4 linked regions of the Saccharomyces cerevisiae S288C genome follow. Changing the gene in region 3 together with the main gene of any one other region gives a genetic interaction. Each region holds a gene or a part of one and is shown on either strand. Other genes may lie near its edges. The genes, in order: TPN1, ACB1, SNO1 and LPX1.

Evidence for each region.
Region 1: mutations in SNO1 (region 3) and TPN1 are lethal when combined (synthetic lethality), as found in Saccharomyces cerevisiae (2 studies listed by BioGRID, with this or other methods).
Region 2: mutations in SNO1 (region 3) and ACB1 together harm fitness more than expected from each alone (negative genetic interaction), as found in Saccharomyces cerevisiae (2 studies listed by BioGRID).
Region 4: mutations in SNO1 (region 3) and LPX1 together harm fitness more than expected from each alone (negative genetic interaction), as found in Saccharomyces cerevisiae (2 studies listed by BioGRID).

Annotation. Positions count from the first base shown.
Region 1 is NC_001139.9:150,537-154,980, forward strand, and holds TPN1 (Tpn1p), read right to left. Parts: upstream 2,241-4,444; coding exon 501-2,240; downstream 1-500. Other genes in the region: YGL185C (putative hydroxyacid dehydrogenase), read right to left, coding at 2,631-3,770; cystathionine beta-lyase STR3, read right to left, coding at 4,079-4,444. UniProt on the Saccharomyces cerevisiae protein: Thiamine-regulated, high affinity import carrier of pyridoxine, pyridoxal and pyridoxamine.
Region 2 is NC_001139.9:559,104-562,020, reverse strand, and holds ACB1 (long-chain fatty acid transporter ACB1), read left to right. Parts: upstream 1-2,026; coding exon 2,027-2,290; downstream 2,291-2,917. Other genes in the region: sphingolipid homeostasis protein ORM1, read right to left, coding at 671-1,339. UniProt on the Saccharomyces cerevisiae protein: Binds medium- and long-chain acyl-CoA esters with very high affinity and may function as an intracellular carrier of acyl-CoA esters. Enhances the in vitro activity of the ceramide synthase complex.
Region 3 is NC_001145.3:456,699-460,017, reverse strand, and holds SNO1 (putative pyridoxal 5'-phosphate synthase), read left to right. Parts: upstream 1-2,058; coding exon 2,059-2,733; downstream 2,734-3,319. Other genes in the region: putative GTPase MTG1, read left to right, coding at 1-594; pyridoxine biosynthesis protein SNZ1, read right to left, coding at 717-1,610; CTF13 (Ctf13p), read right to left, coding at 2,757-3,319. UniProt on the Saccharomyces cerevisiae protein: Catalyzes the hydrolysis of glutamine to glutamate and ammonia as part of the biosynthesis of pyridoxal 5'-phosphate. The resulting ammonia molecule is channeled to the active site of a SNZ isoform.
Region 4 is NC_001147.6:478,629-482,250, forward strand, and holds LPX1 (triglyceride lipase), read left to right. Parts: upstream 1-1,958; coding exon 1,959-3,122; downstream 3,123-3,622. Other genes in the region: TGL5 (triacylglycerol lipase), read right to left, coding at 1-560; transcriptional repressor WHI5, read left to right, coding at 905-1,792; dolichyl-diphosphooligosaccharide--protein glycotransferase OST3, read left to right, coding at 3,405-3,622. UniProt on the Saccharomyces cerevisiae protein: Has acyl esterase, lipase and phospholipase A activity.

The sequences.
Region 1 (4,444 bases), on a different chromosome or scaffold from region 3:
ATCTTATTTCCTGTTTATGCTAATTTTTACGCAATTAGCGTGCCTAAGTACAAAAAAATGTTTTGTAAAAAGTATGAAAAAAATTCTAATCTTCGTATATCTTTCTTTCCTGTGTTTATACTTGGAAGAAGCGAAGTATTTTATCCTTGAGTGTGTCTTATTTTCTCTTCCCTTTATTTGCTACTAACCAAGATGGGAGATATCGCTTTTTCGAAGGACGCCTTTGGAATCCGCTGATCTTATTGGTGGACAGTCAGCTGACAGAAAACTTAGATCGTGACAGCAAATTAAACGATTTGTGCTACTGTTCAAAGTGTCAGTATATCACTCGATGATTTCAATTGTCCACCAGGCTTAGATTTTCATGTGAAAAGATAATGTGTACAAAAAAATATCCTCCCTGAGCGTAATTTAACATACCATGAATCTACCTGCCAATATTATCTAAACTAAAGTTTGCCGCTGCACCGTAGTTTTAATATATACTTATGTCATTTCAATTAACGACCAAATTTACGTAGCTCTAAGTATCTACAAGGAGGGTATACAACACCTGAGAACGCCATACTTAACCACATTGCGACATCACCACCATATTCACCAAATTTGGCAGCAATTGGGCCAATCCAATAGGCTTGCGCCATACCAACTACCACACCAGCAACTCCTACAATAAACGCAAATGTTGCTGCATAACCGTGCGTTAAAACCTCATAATCTTCCCATTTGTCCCAATTGTAACGATGTTTAGTCACCTTATGTTTTCTTTTTAACAAATGGATATTAGTAACTGCATCTTTCTCCACTTCTTTTGAAGATCCAACAAGTTCCGGTCCATTTATTTCTCCTGTAACTGTAGGAAACTCTTTGGTGTACAAATGTAAGAAAAACCTTCTGAATACTAAATTCTCTTCGAATAATAAGATAAAGTACATGCTAATCCAGTAGCCTATCATTGGTAGGAAATTTCCCAAAATAGTACTAAAATGATTACGACCTATTAATGCGCATACCAAACAAATTATAGTACAAACAATAGACCAGAACCAGCGAGGGATTTTTGCACAAAACACACTAGAAAGTTGGATGGAGAATGCTGCCGAATACGTATTGATGATGTTGTTGGATACCAAACTGAATACCAGTACTACCACGCAGAACTTTCCGAAGCCGTTCCAACGCTGAAAACCTGCCCAAAGTAGACCACCCATTCCATGGGAATCGTACTCGACTGACCAAGGCTTATACGACATGGCAACAGAAGCTAGTAAGAGACCTAAGATTCCGACGAAACAGGTAGGCAAAAATGTTCCAAAAAACGTTAGGCAAAAAATTTGAATATATGGTGTATCTTCTGGGAACAATATATAATAGTCTGCTGTAATAGACCCCCAAGTAGCCGTAATACTATAGCATAATGAAAAAAAACTCATCCAGTTGCCCTTTCGGGTGGAAGAGTCCAAATTTCCCTTTGAAACGTATGCATTGACGAAGCTGTATTTATCACTTGATGAAATGTACAGTAGTAAAAATGCTGTCAGGACGGGTACGGATAAGTAAGTTTCCACTTTAATGACTTGTTTGATACCGAAAATGGCAACTAAAAAGGAGCATACGGTCACTATGACAATCCCTACCCATAGGGGTACTTTATCATTAGAAATAGCAGCTAACATTTCACCCCCAACCACGGAATTAACCACAGACCAACCCATGACACCGATAATGGAAGCTAATGCAACTAATTTAACAAACCACCATCCGAACAGGTATCTAGCTGTTACCATCTGTCTGCAACCGGACTGCGGTCCCATGATCGAGCAATAGGCAGCAATTAAGCAACCAATTGTTACCGATATTAAACTGGAGGCTACGGATTCTCTAAAGCTTAAACCGAAAAGCAGAGGGCCTAATAAAAACGACGACATGGAAGACAAACCACCTGTGGCACTCAACCATAGCCCCGCGACATGCAAAAATTGTTTCTTTGATGTTCCTCGTTCATAGGGAGATATCCTCTGAATACCGGTAGACTCTACTCCCATTGCGTCCACTTTCTTAGAAAGCCATGCCGCCCTGTTGATAATTCTTCTCAAAATGGACGGACTTGAGTTGGCCTTTTCTGTGGCTATGTTTAAAGAAGAAGCTGCGGTTCCTTCTTCGTAAAATTCTATTACATCAGTAGTATGCTTTGTATGATCTTCTTTGCGCTTTGTTGTGTCCATGTTGTCCCTATTCATCTATGATCGAAGTTTTTCAAGTCCTGTTCTTTGATAAATACTCTATAAAGCTAATAATATTCAACAGTAATATTTTTATACTGAGAACCTCAACATCTGTTCTCTTTTTTAATGGCCTTCTCTTAGACACCATCAAAGCAGCCTGACGCAGAAAATTTCAGGTGAGATAAGGTGCGGCGAACAAATCCGAAATTTACTTACACGCAAGTACGAGTCATACACCTACGGGGCACTGTACTACAATCCATTGTCGAAACAAAAACGGCACTTAATGTTGACTTCTTTTTGAAGTCAAATGCATACGAAAACTCGCACTGCTCTTTTTTCTTGGTGTGTTGACGTATATGTATATATAGGTATGTTAACATAAGGTTCTTACGTCTCTTACTATCAAACTACACGGGAGAAATGCTCATCGCTTGCGGCTTCCCCAGACACTACCCGTAAGATTCTTGTCAATGCCAGTTCACAACTTTGCTCAAAAACATCCTTTGTCGCACTACCCAAATGCGGAGTAATTGAAGTAAGTCTATCAGAAGATCTGATTTTTTCATCTATTTCTGGTTCTTTATTAAAGACGTCTAAACCGAGATGGTTGATTCGTCCCGTTACCAAGGCGTCAGAAACAGCCCGCAAGTCCAAAATTTTACCTCTTCCCAAGTTGACTAAAATTAGGCCTGGATTGCAGTGTTCCAAAAATTTCCTGTTGATTAAATGTTCTGTTTGTGGAGTTCCCGGCAATGTGACCACGATTGCATGAAACTGGTATAGTTTTGCATATATTGTTTCATCTAGCAAATGAAATTTCCAGCTTTCGTTTTGACTCATTGTGCAATCTTCGCTTCTTTTGCAATAATGTATTTCCATTCCTAGCCCGTATTGCAACTTGTAGGCTACTTGCTTTCCAATACTTCCTAAACCAAGAATTAAGCATTTCTTTCCTCTTGGTGATTCAGCAAACATATTCCCCAGTTCATGGCCAAAAGCAAATCCGCTCTTTTCTGCAGCTTTCGCCCTTGCAGTTAATGTATTTCCAGTTTCTCTACTAAGTTTTTGGTAATAGGAGAACTTTCTAAAGCCCTCCAGAATGTGCCACAAGGCACAATCTGCCACATCATTACCGACTTGATGAAGCTTTAAATCGTCTATCAATTTTTCATTTTCATCGTCTTGGTAGTTGTATAATCGAATTTCATGCTTGCGTAATGTATCCAGATCCCATCCGTCGTAACCTCTTGAGCAAAGCACGATACATTTTAAATTTTTCCTTGGAAATGACTTGTGTTCGATGATACTTCGAGTCATCCCACCGATTTTTTTGAATGCCGGAAACCCAGCATAAATGGCACATATTTTGTCTTGTTCATGCCTTTCTAAAAAGTTAAGAAATGCTTCTTTGGTGTCCAGCTGATAGCGCAAGATCCTGAACTTCTCTTTGAATGCCTTGGAATTAAGTGTGGCTGATGTTTCGCACGGATCTGCGATGAAAAGAATAGTAGGCTTTCCAGTCGTTGCAGGAGAATCGCACATTTTTTGTATGCTCTTTTCCTTCTAAATCTGCTGTCAACCCATTGTCGAGTGAAGTTATAAAAGCACAGCTATTTCTATATTCCTTTTACGACCGCCATTACACACGTTCATTGAGGCAAACTTTCCTCCTTCGCGCGTGCGTTTCCCAAGGGTAGTAGTAAGAGCTTACGGAACAGCCCGAAAGGCTGTAAAAGTTTAATATACTTACTGTTCTTGAAATTCTGTCTATATACTTGACTATTTAAAGTTACTATCTTTGGATTTGAACCTTATAAAAAAAAAAAAAAAAGGTACATGCATATTTTCCCTTACAATTTCGAACTCTTAATATTCAATTCTGAGTCCTTTCTGATGAGATCTTGATTGTAAAATTCTTCGTAAATACTTAAAGGCTTATGCAGGTCATCGATGGTAGTGTTCACAGCTAGGTTCTTATTCAATTTGTTGAAAAGATATTTGCCATTTTCTCTTACTTCTATAATATCAGCGTCAACCATCGCCGCTAATAAATCTTTCTTCAAATCTACTATATTTTCGATACCGCAGCAAAGACGAACCAAATCTTCAGGAAAATCTCTCTCTTTCCTTAATTCGGGATCAATGGAAGCATGGGACATTTTGCAAGGCATAGATAGAAGCGAATTTACACACCCGAAAGATACCGTCACAGCCCA
Region 2 (2,917 bases), on a different chromosome or scaffold from region 3:
AATATTAACATATAAAACGATGATAATAATATTTATAGAATTGTGTAGAATTGCAGATTCCCTTTTATGGATTCCTAAATCCTCGAGGAGAACTTCTAGTATATTCTGTATACCTAATATTATAGCCTTTATCAACAATGGAATCCCAACAATTATCTAATTACCCACATATATCTCACCTTCAGCATCTTTTTCCCCATTTTTTTACTTGTAGTATAGATTGTTGTTTACGTGCACGATTAGCTTCTTCAAACCAGGAAACAGCAATGTATACATTGGCAACTTGGCCGAGTGGTTAAGGCGAAAGATTAGAAATCTTTTGGGCTTTGCCCGCGCAGGTTCGAGTCCTGCAGTTGTCGTTATTTTTGAGTTTTCCGATGTCTATTTTGTGATAATAGTATTAGAAGCAGTACGTGAAATAGTGCTAATACTATCTGTTATTCTTTTTGAATAGAATATGATTATATGAATTAAATACAATTTCAACAAATAGGTTTAGAAGGTGCATTAATATGGAATTTTTTCAATTTTTGTTCACATTCTTTTTCATTTACATAAATGAAGTCCGAAATCCGTTGTTGGCTTTTGAAATTTCAAAGCGTTAGTGATTTGGCCCAGAAAATATAAATATAGCAAAAACATCTAGATACAAGATTGAAATAAACTATGTTCAACTAATTTGGGCGCGACCTGTGATACCTGGGATAGAAATCCTTAATCTATGAGTAACAGGTAACTTTGGGACAACAGCACCAAAGGTTGTCAAAAAACAATTCCATGAAAACAATTTCAAATCATAGTGAGCATAATGAGTACTAACTAAGAATAGGGCGATCGGGACACTAATCAAAAATTTTCTTGAAGGAGTATATAAAGTCTCGTCGTCAATTTGTTCCCACATCGTCAAGTTGTCATAAGCACCACCATTGAAATCGAAAGGGGTACCCTTAATCAGATGGAACATGACATAGGACCCAATAACATATGTCATATTAGTCAGAGTCCACGACCATTCTGTGGTAACACCAGGAAATAAATTATAAAATAGTTTCAGCAGTATGATAATGACCACATGAATAATCCAAGCGCCGCGTTGGTCTACCCAAGTAGCATTCATATTTGGTAGAAGTTGCTGGTCATTTTCATCTTCAAAAGTCTCCGGTTCCACATGTGAAATTATGCTGGAAGAACGCCTTCTTCTATGATCTTTCACAGGTTCCGTCGTTTTAATTGATGAAGATGCACTGCCTGCAGAAGGAAACGGCTTAAGGTCCGTTTGATTTCGACTATACGAGGTAGAAGCCGCCTCAGCAGTTCCTTGATAATCTAATTCGGTCATTAACTAAATGGATAAAAATGCAATGAAATACAAAATAAGAATAACTCTGCTTTTTAGAGAATATGTGGTAAACAACAAAAGGTAGTTAGGGAAATTCAAAAAGGGAATATCAAGCAAAGGAAGATGTTATCGATCAGTGAATTTTTCTTGTTTCGTGAATCCACTGAAATATCTGCATCTGAAGGCGAGATCTCATGATAGTTTTCTAAGGTCTTAAAGTGAAAACATAGGCATTTCACTATACCCGATAGTTGTCGGGTAACGGCTTTGAGTCTACGATGGTTTATATACCGCAGCTCCGTTAGCAAAGGAATAGAGGAAACTCGAAACAGGTAGTCTAGCAATTTGTGTAGGGACTAAACATATTTCGACTATTCTCTATAATCCGTTCCTAAACTACATGCCACAAACTCTCGTATTGAAACATTCCATTAAAAAATGACCGTCGGAAGAGATTACGGCCTTGGTGCCTGAAGACAGGTGGCGCTGGCGGCCCTACGCGCTCTCTGACACGTCCGCAAACTCAACAGCTCCAGGCCAACTCCCCAATGACCGCCATATATATAGCTAGCTTGGATCAATTGGTCTGTCTCGGAAGCAAGTACGTTATGTACATCATTTCACTGTGTGAAGCAAAAGAAGGAAGACTAAAACTCTAAAATTAGTTAAACTAGTGTTTTCAGCAAAATGGTTTCCCAATTATTCGAAGAAAAAGCTAAAGCCGTCAACGAGCTACCAACGAAGCCCTCCACTGATGAATTATTAGAATTGTATGCTCTGTACAAGCAAGCCACTGTAGGTGACAACGACAAGGAAAAGCCTGGTATTTTCAACATGAAGGACCGCTACAAGTGGGAAGCCTGGGAAAACTTAAAAGGTAAATCCCAGGAAGATGCCGAAAAGGAATACATTGCCCTTGTTGATCAACTGATTGCCAAGTACTCCTCTTAGAAAAGGGGTATACTAGCTCCATGTAAGGAGTTTTGGCCTAGCTTTCCTTGTTACTATTCTATTATTATATTTTATTGGCTGCAAAAACGTGACTTATGTACATTTATAAATGCCCATATCCCTTACTACTCTCCCTGGGGACAAGGCGTAATAACTGTTAATAAATGCATATACTCTGTTCTATTTAAATTCTCGGGGTTCGCTGGAATATTGAATCACAATTAGGGAGATTCGCATGTAATTTACGCCGAGAATGATACTGATTTGTGTTGAATATGACAAGGTTTAGCGGAAACACGCTCTTGAAATTTTTAAAGATATTTTCATGATTTATATACAGACTGATCTGTATACATTTTTATATTGTCATACATAGGCTTTAATAACTACTCAGTTTTTTTTGATGGCGGCAGAAGCAGCGCTTTCATTGCTCTACACAAATCCGCAATTCAAGTGACAGACGCCAAACTAGTGGTACAGTACACTTACTGAAGCGCACCATGTATACCCTGATCTACATCTAGAGCTTGTTCAGTTTTTCTTTATGCTTTTAATTACGCCAGGAAGAAAACCGTTCTTACGTGGTGGATGAAATAGGAGAATTCGGGTTTCTGGGAAAACTTAAAA
Region 3 (3,319 bases):
AGGACAATTTTTCACAATCAAGTGAATATGGGAAGAAAATTTAAGAAAGTAGCCAAAACTGGTGCAGAAGCTGGTGTTACTAGAGCCACAAGCGAGGTTATTAGAGTAACTTCACGGAATACGGAATCAAGAAATGAAATATACTTGATAGATACTCCAGGAATCGGTGTTCCCGGTCGCGTTTCAGATCATAATAGAATGCTAGGACTGGCGTTGTGTGGTAGTGTTAAAAATAACCTTGTAGATCCAATATTTCAAGCGGATTACCTTTTATACCTAATGAACTTGCAAAATTTGAACGATGGAAGAACAGAGCTTTACCCTGGAAGCACCAATTCTCCCACAAATGATATATATGATGTTTTAAGAAGGCTTCAAGTGAATAAAAGCCAAAATGAAAAATCAACGGCTATCGAGTGGACTAACAAATGGAGGTTGCATGGAAAGGGTATCATATTTGACCCTGAGGTACTGTTGAATAATGACGAGTTTTCTTATAAAAACTATGTAAATGATCAATTGGAAAAGTTAGGAGATCTTTCGTATGAGGGATTGTCTAACAAACTAAAAGGGAACCCCAATCAAGTATTCTAGTAAATAATATCCAGCATACATAAGCTTATCTAATAATTAGATCATTTTACAATGTGTACCGAGTAATACAAAGTTGAGGGGGGAAAAAGTGTTATAATGCTCAAAATACCTGTTCAAAGAAATCACCACCCAATTTCGGAAAGTCTTACTCCATTGGAAGCATGACTAATAGATTCGATTGATACACCACCCATTAACTCTCCTAAGTCACTAGATACTTCCAACAATTTGCTGGGATTGTCAAAGTGAGTGGTAGCCTCTACTACTGCAGTGGCCAACCTTACAGGATTAGATGATTTAAAAATTCCTGAGCCAACAAACACACCATCACAACCCAACTGCATTAACAATGCGGCATCGGCTGGCGTTGCTACACCACCTGCAGCAAAATTTACTACTGGCAACTTACCTTTTTCTAAAACATCTTTCAGCAAAGAAACTGGTACCCTCATTTCCTCAGCAACTTTTGCAATGTCATCTTCGCTCTTCAATTGTTGGCACGCCTTTATCTCCTCTGTAATTCTCCTTATATGCTTGACGGCTTCAGAGACATCGCCCGTTCCAGCTTCACCCTTGGTACGAATCATAGCGGCGCCTTCATTAATTCTTCTCAAAGCTTCACCTAAGTCTTTAGCGCCACAAACAAATGGAACTTTGAATTTGTCCTTTTCAATGTGGTGAGTCCAATCAGCAGGAGTCAAGACTTCACTTTCGTCAATATAGTCAACTTCCAATGCCTCAATAATTTGAGCTTCAACAAAATGGCCAATCCTTACCTTAGCCATGACGGGAATGGAAACGGAGTTCATGATGTCCTTAATCATCTTCGGATCTGACATGCGGCAAACCTTTCCTGACTTACGCATATCTGCTGGGATGGATTCTAATGCCATTACCGCACATGCACCAGATTTTTCAGCTATTTTTGCCTGCTCTGGAGTAACAACATCCATAATAACGCCACCTTTTAACATTTGGGCGAGACCACTCTTGATCTTAAAGTCTTCTCCAGTCATCGTGATAATTAACTGAATATTAGTACTGTGTATATTTGCTAGTCGTTCCTAAAGGTTTCTCCAACAATACCATAGACTTCGTCCATAGCTCTCAGCGTCCTCCTATTTATATCGAAAATGGTACTTCGCAGCCAGAATTACAGACGTAACTAACGGTGCGGCAGAGTGTGTCAGAGTCATGAAGAAATGGCGGCGCTACCTGAAAAGTAGTGAAAAAGCCCGGCTTTCAACCCTTACCCTTGTCGGCTGAGTCATTATGTCATGATGAGCTATTCCAACTAGTGCCATAAATTCCAACTGAGTCAGTAAACGGCATTTATCAGCAATAACTGGTCACGAACTCTTTGAATGTTTTATTCTTTCTTCCAAAAATCACGTTGATGCCACCAGGTTTTTTTTTCTTATTATTTCATTTCGTTAAATAGAAAGAAAAACCATATCTTAAAGTATGCACAAAACCCACAGTACAATGTCCGGAAAGTCGATGAAAGTAATTGGGGTTTTGGCGTTGCAAGGTGCCTTTTTGGAGCATACCAACCATTTAAAAAGGTGTTTGGCTGAAAACGACTACGGAATAAAGATAGAAATCAAAACTGTAAAAACTCCTGAGGATCTAGCCCAGTGCGACGCCTTAATTATTCCCGGAGGAGAATCTACGTCGATGTCCCTCATCGCTCAAAGAACAGGCTTATATCCTTGTTTATACGAATTTGTTCATAATCCGGAAAAGGTAGTTTGGGGTACTTGTGCTGGTCTCATCTTTTTAAGCGCGCAATTAGAAAACGAAAGTGCCCTAGTAAAGACTTTAGGTGTGTTGAAGGTCGACGTGAGAAGAAACGCATTTGGAAGACAAGCTCAATCTTTTACACAAAAGTGTGATTTTTCCAATTTCATACCTGGCTGTGATAATTTTCCTGCTACATTTATTCGCGCACCCGTGATCGAGAGAATTCTTGATCCTATCGCGGTTAAAAGTTTATATGAATTGCCAGTGAATGGAAAGGATGTGGTTGTAGCTGCAACGCAAAATCATAATATCCTTGTGACTTCTTTTCATCCAGAGCTTGCTGACAGTGATACAAGATTTCATGATTGGTTTATCAGACAGTTTGTTTCTAATTAAAATACCGCCGGTTTTCCACATTTTTATATTACCAAAACCTGAGAGATTTTTTCACATCGATAAATCTCTACTCGTTTACTATCGAACAATGCTCTAGGTACGATGATATTGTTAAAAACTTCAGATACATTTTGTAGCTTGATATGGTTCAAAGTCCGAAAAGATAGCCAAACTATTGCTTGACATCGAAGGTATGTTATTTGATTAATTTCACTTTTGTCAAGCTCTTTTATTCTTGTGTGTCGTAAATTAAAAAATTTTGTGAATTTACTATCATCTTCCTTTATGTACAACGATTTAAAAGTTCTCTTATCGACTTTTAGTTCCTTTAGTATATTTTCCTCGATGTTCCACCACTTGATTTTACTTACACGTTTCATTGTCAGAGATTTAAAATTTTTGGGAAAGACAATGCTATTCAGGTCGATGTAAGCTACTCTACTTAATACAAGCTTTTGCAAGTTGTCCCATCTTGTAAAGTCAGCTAGTCCGGTTCTGGAAATTTGATTCATGCGTGATAGGCGTATTTCATTTATCCTACGTTTCACTATGTAACTAATCGTTTTACCAGGATTGTCTCTGAACC
Region 4 (3,622 bases), on a different chromosome or scaffold from region 3:
CCGCTAAGCACGAGAGCCGTGCGCCCTATGTTTCTTCTCGTCTGTTGCAAAATACCGAGGAGATAGTGATCGTTCATATTTGACTGATGGATCAGCGCGGTGAGCACTGCTTGAGACTCTTCTAGGTAGTCATGTATAATTTGTTTTGTGCCGGTATGCGAGTGCCTGTAAAGATTAACGTTATTCATGTTGCCAAGATTACGGACCCACTTAGTTCTAATCAGATAAAGCAGGCGGTGGTAGTCGTGAGTGGTTCTCAAATGGCGCATACGGATGGTCAAGTCTTGCAGCAGCTTATAGTTATACAACGAGGACTCGTCGATTGTTTTCCATTCGGAAAGTCCCGTTAAGTCGTCTAATCGCGACGCTATGTCATTCCATTGATCGTAGGAGATGGCGTGTTTTTTCTGGGAAGACAAATCGGATATGAGCAGCTGTTTACGGGAGAGAGTCTTGTGGTATAACCATTTGAAGAGCGATGATGAGTCTGTGGCAGGAGTGTTGGAAAGTTCGTAGTATTTGGATAAAAGAAATTCTGTTACTGGCAAGGTATTAGACATAGCAACGAAACAGAACCGTCTTCCTTGTGCTGTTTATGATGTCTTTTGTCTCCTATTGTTTTCGAATTTTATTTTTTTTTTTTTTTATTTTTTTATTTTTTTTTGTTTTATATAATTCCTCGCGCTGCCTTAATGATAATTCTTGATTTACTAATTGTTTCATGACTTCTGGTGCTAAAGGGAAGGGGGAAAAGGGAAGCGAAAACTTCAAGAGCAGAACGAAAAAAATAAAAAAAACAAAACAAAACAAAACAAAACAAAGGCAAAACAAGGCAAAGAACCTGATGGAAGAAAGCACAACCAGATATTAATAGCAACGAAAAATAGTAGAGACATTGAAGAATATGAGTTTGAGAACGCCGAAGAGAAGCAGGACTAGCGATGAACAAGAACAAGAACAAGAACAAGAGCAGGTACAGAACCCAGATACACATGTAAACAACGAGCATCAGCAGCGACCTGGGCCAACCACTCTATTGAGCACGCCAGTACGTCTCAAAAATGGCTTTGGAACACCATCGCCGCCGTCACCACCAGGCATAACGAAAAGCATCACTAAATCGAGAAGAAGGCCGTCGACAACGAGTCTTCAGGGTATATTCATGTCGCCCGTCAATAAGCGTCGTGTCGGCATAACCGCACATGGACGTGTATATGACCATAACGACGACGGACACGAAAGTGAGAGTGAGGACGACGAAAATGAAGAAGAAAATGAAAATCAAAAGAAGTACGACGGACACGTTAGTATGCCTTTGTTGCCACCGACAACGCCCAAGTCAAGACGGTCGGAGGTGTTTCTGTCGCCGTCGCCGCGTTTGAGGTCACCTCCGACGGCTGCGCGTCGGTCTACGGGCGAGCGGCCCATCCGCGAAATATCACATACTTTGCGCACCAGGCTCAATTACGCGTTAGTCAAGCTGCAAAATGGATGGACGGACAAGACACTTCCCGAGCTGGAGACGGAGCTTGCTCCAGCAGTGCAGACGCCGCCACGTCGCTATCACAACAGATTTCCAGATAGTGCAGACGCGGGTACTTCCGCGCATACAGCGTTTCTTCAGGCGCTCGGAGGCCACCCACCACGGGAGGAGGCCACGGCTGTCGAAACACTGATGCTATTGTCGTCGCCTACCAAGAAGCAACAACACCGACCCGTGCCGGCGACATCTGCTGGAGAACCCACGGACGAAACGGAGCCCGAGTCGGATACCGAAGTGGAGACGTCTTAATGTGGTAGTACGAGTTTTTTCTCCGCAATCTCGGAGTTAGTGCAGCCGCGCCCGCTGCTGCACCCTTTAGCATATATATAAAGTGCGTAATGTGCGTGCTAAAAAAGCTCACTAGTGCGTACTCTGCTTATCTCTGCGTATCCGCCGATCAACATCCGCGGCTAAAATGGAACAGAACAGGTTCAAGAAAGAAACGAAAACTTGTAGCGCTAGCTGGCCGCGCGCACCGCAGTCGACGCTGTGTGCGACAGATCGCCTCGAGCTCACATACGATGTGTACACTAGCGCAGAGCGGCAACGCCGCTCTCGCACTGCCACTAGGCTTAACCTTGTGTTTTTGCACGGCAGCGGCATGAGTAAGGTGGTATGGGAGTACTATTTGCCGCGTCTGGTAGCCGCCGATGCGGAGGGCAATTATGCCATCGACAAGGTTTTGTTGATCGACCAGGTTAACCACGGTGATTCTGCGGTACGCAACCGCGGCAGACTCGGCACCAATTTCAACTGGATCGACGGGGCCCGCGACGTGCTCAAGATTGCCACATGCGAGTTGGGCAGTATTGACAGCCACCCGGCACTAAACGTAGTCATCGGCCACTCGATGGGCGGGTTCCAGGCTCTTGCGTGTGACGTCCTGCAGCCCAATCTGTTTCATTTGCTCATCTTGATCGAGCCTGTAGTAATCACACGGAAAGCCATCGGCGCCGGGAGGCCAGGGCTTCCGCCCGATTCTCCGCAGATCCCAGAAAATCTTTATAACTCCCTACGTTTAAAGACGTGCGACCATTTCGCTAACGAGTCCGAATATGTAAAATATATGAGGAACGGTTCCTTTTTTACCAATGCGCACAGCCAAATCCTGCAAAACATCATCGATTTTGAGAGGACAAAAGCCTCTGGAGACGATGAAGATGGTGGACCCGTTCGCACGAAGATGGAGCAGGCTCAAAATCTCCTCTGCTACATGAACATGCAGACTTTTGCGCCTTTCCTGATCAGCAATGTGAAGTTTGTGAGGAAGCGGACTATCCACATTGTGGGCGCGCGCTCCAACTGGTGTCCTCCGCAAAATCAGCTGTTTTTGCAGAAAACTCTACAGAACTACCATCTCGATGTCATTCCCGGCGGCTCCCACTTGGTCAACGTTGAGGCTCCGGACCTGGTGATCGAGAGGATTAATCACCACATCCACGAGTTTGTCCTTACCTCCCCGCTGCAGTCCTCACACATTCCGCAATTGACCCTTGAAGAAAGAGCGGTGATGTTTGACCGGGCTTTCGACTCGTTCAAGAATGAAGCTTTGGTTAAAACGACTAAACAAAAACTGTAAACACTTGTGTACACTATTACATATATTATTCAATAATAATTAACTGACGCAATCTATGGCACTGGCGTGGTTTCTTTTTCTTTTGTTTTCCGTGCAAGCGCGATGCAACTATATCGTCGAGGACGAATGTGTACCCGTCTTTCCGCCAGACAGGTAACAAGTACTTCAATTGACTTAGAAGAAAAACATTAAGGAACTTTAACGTAGGAGCAACACAATACCAGGCACACGCTCTTCGAACACTGAACCACACGCGTCCGCATCAAACTCTTCCTCCCAAACATGAATTGGCTGTTTTTGGTCTCGCTGGTTTTCTTCTGCGGCGTGTCAACCCATCCTGCCCTGGCAATGTCCAGCAACAGACTACTAAAGCTGGCTAATAAATCTCCCAAGAAAATTATACCTCTGAAGGACTCAAGTTTTGAAAACATCTTGGCACCACCTCACGAAAATGCCTATATAGTTGCTCTGTTTACTGCCACAGCGCCCGAAATTGGCTG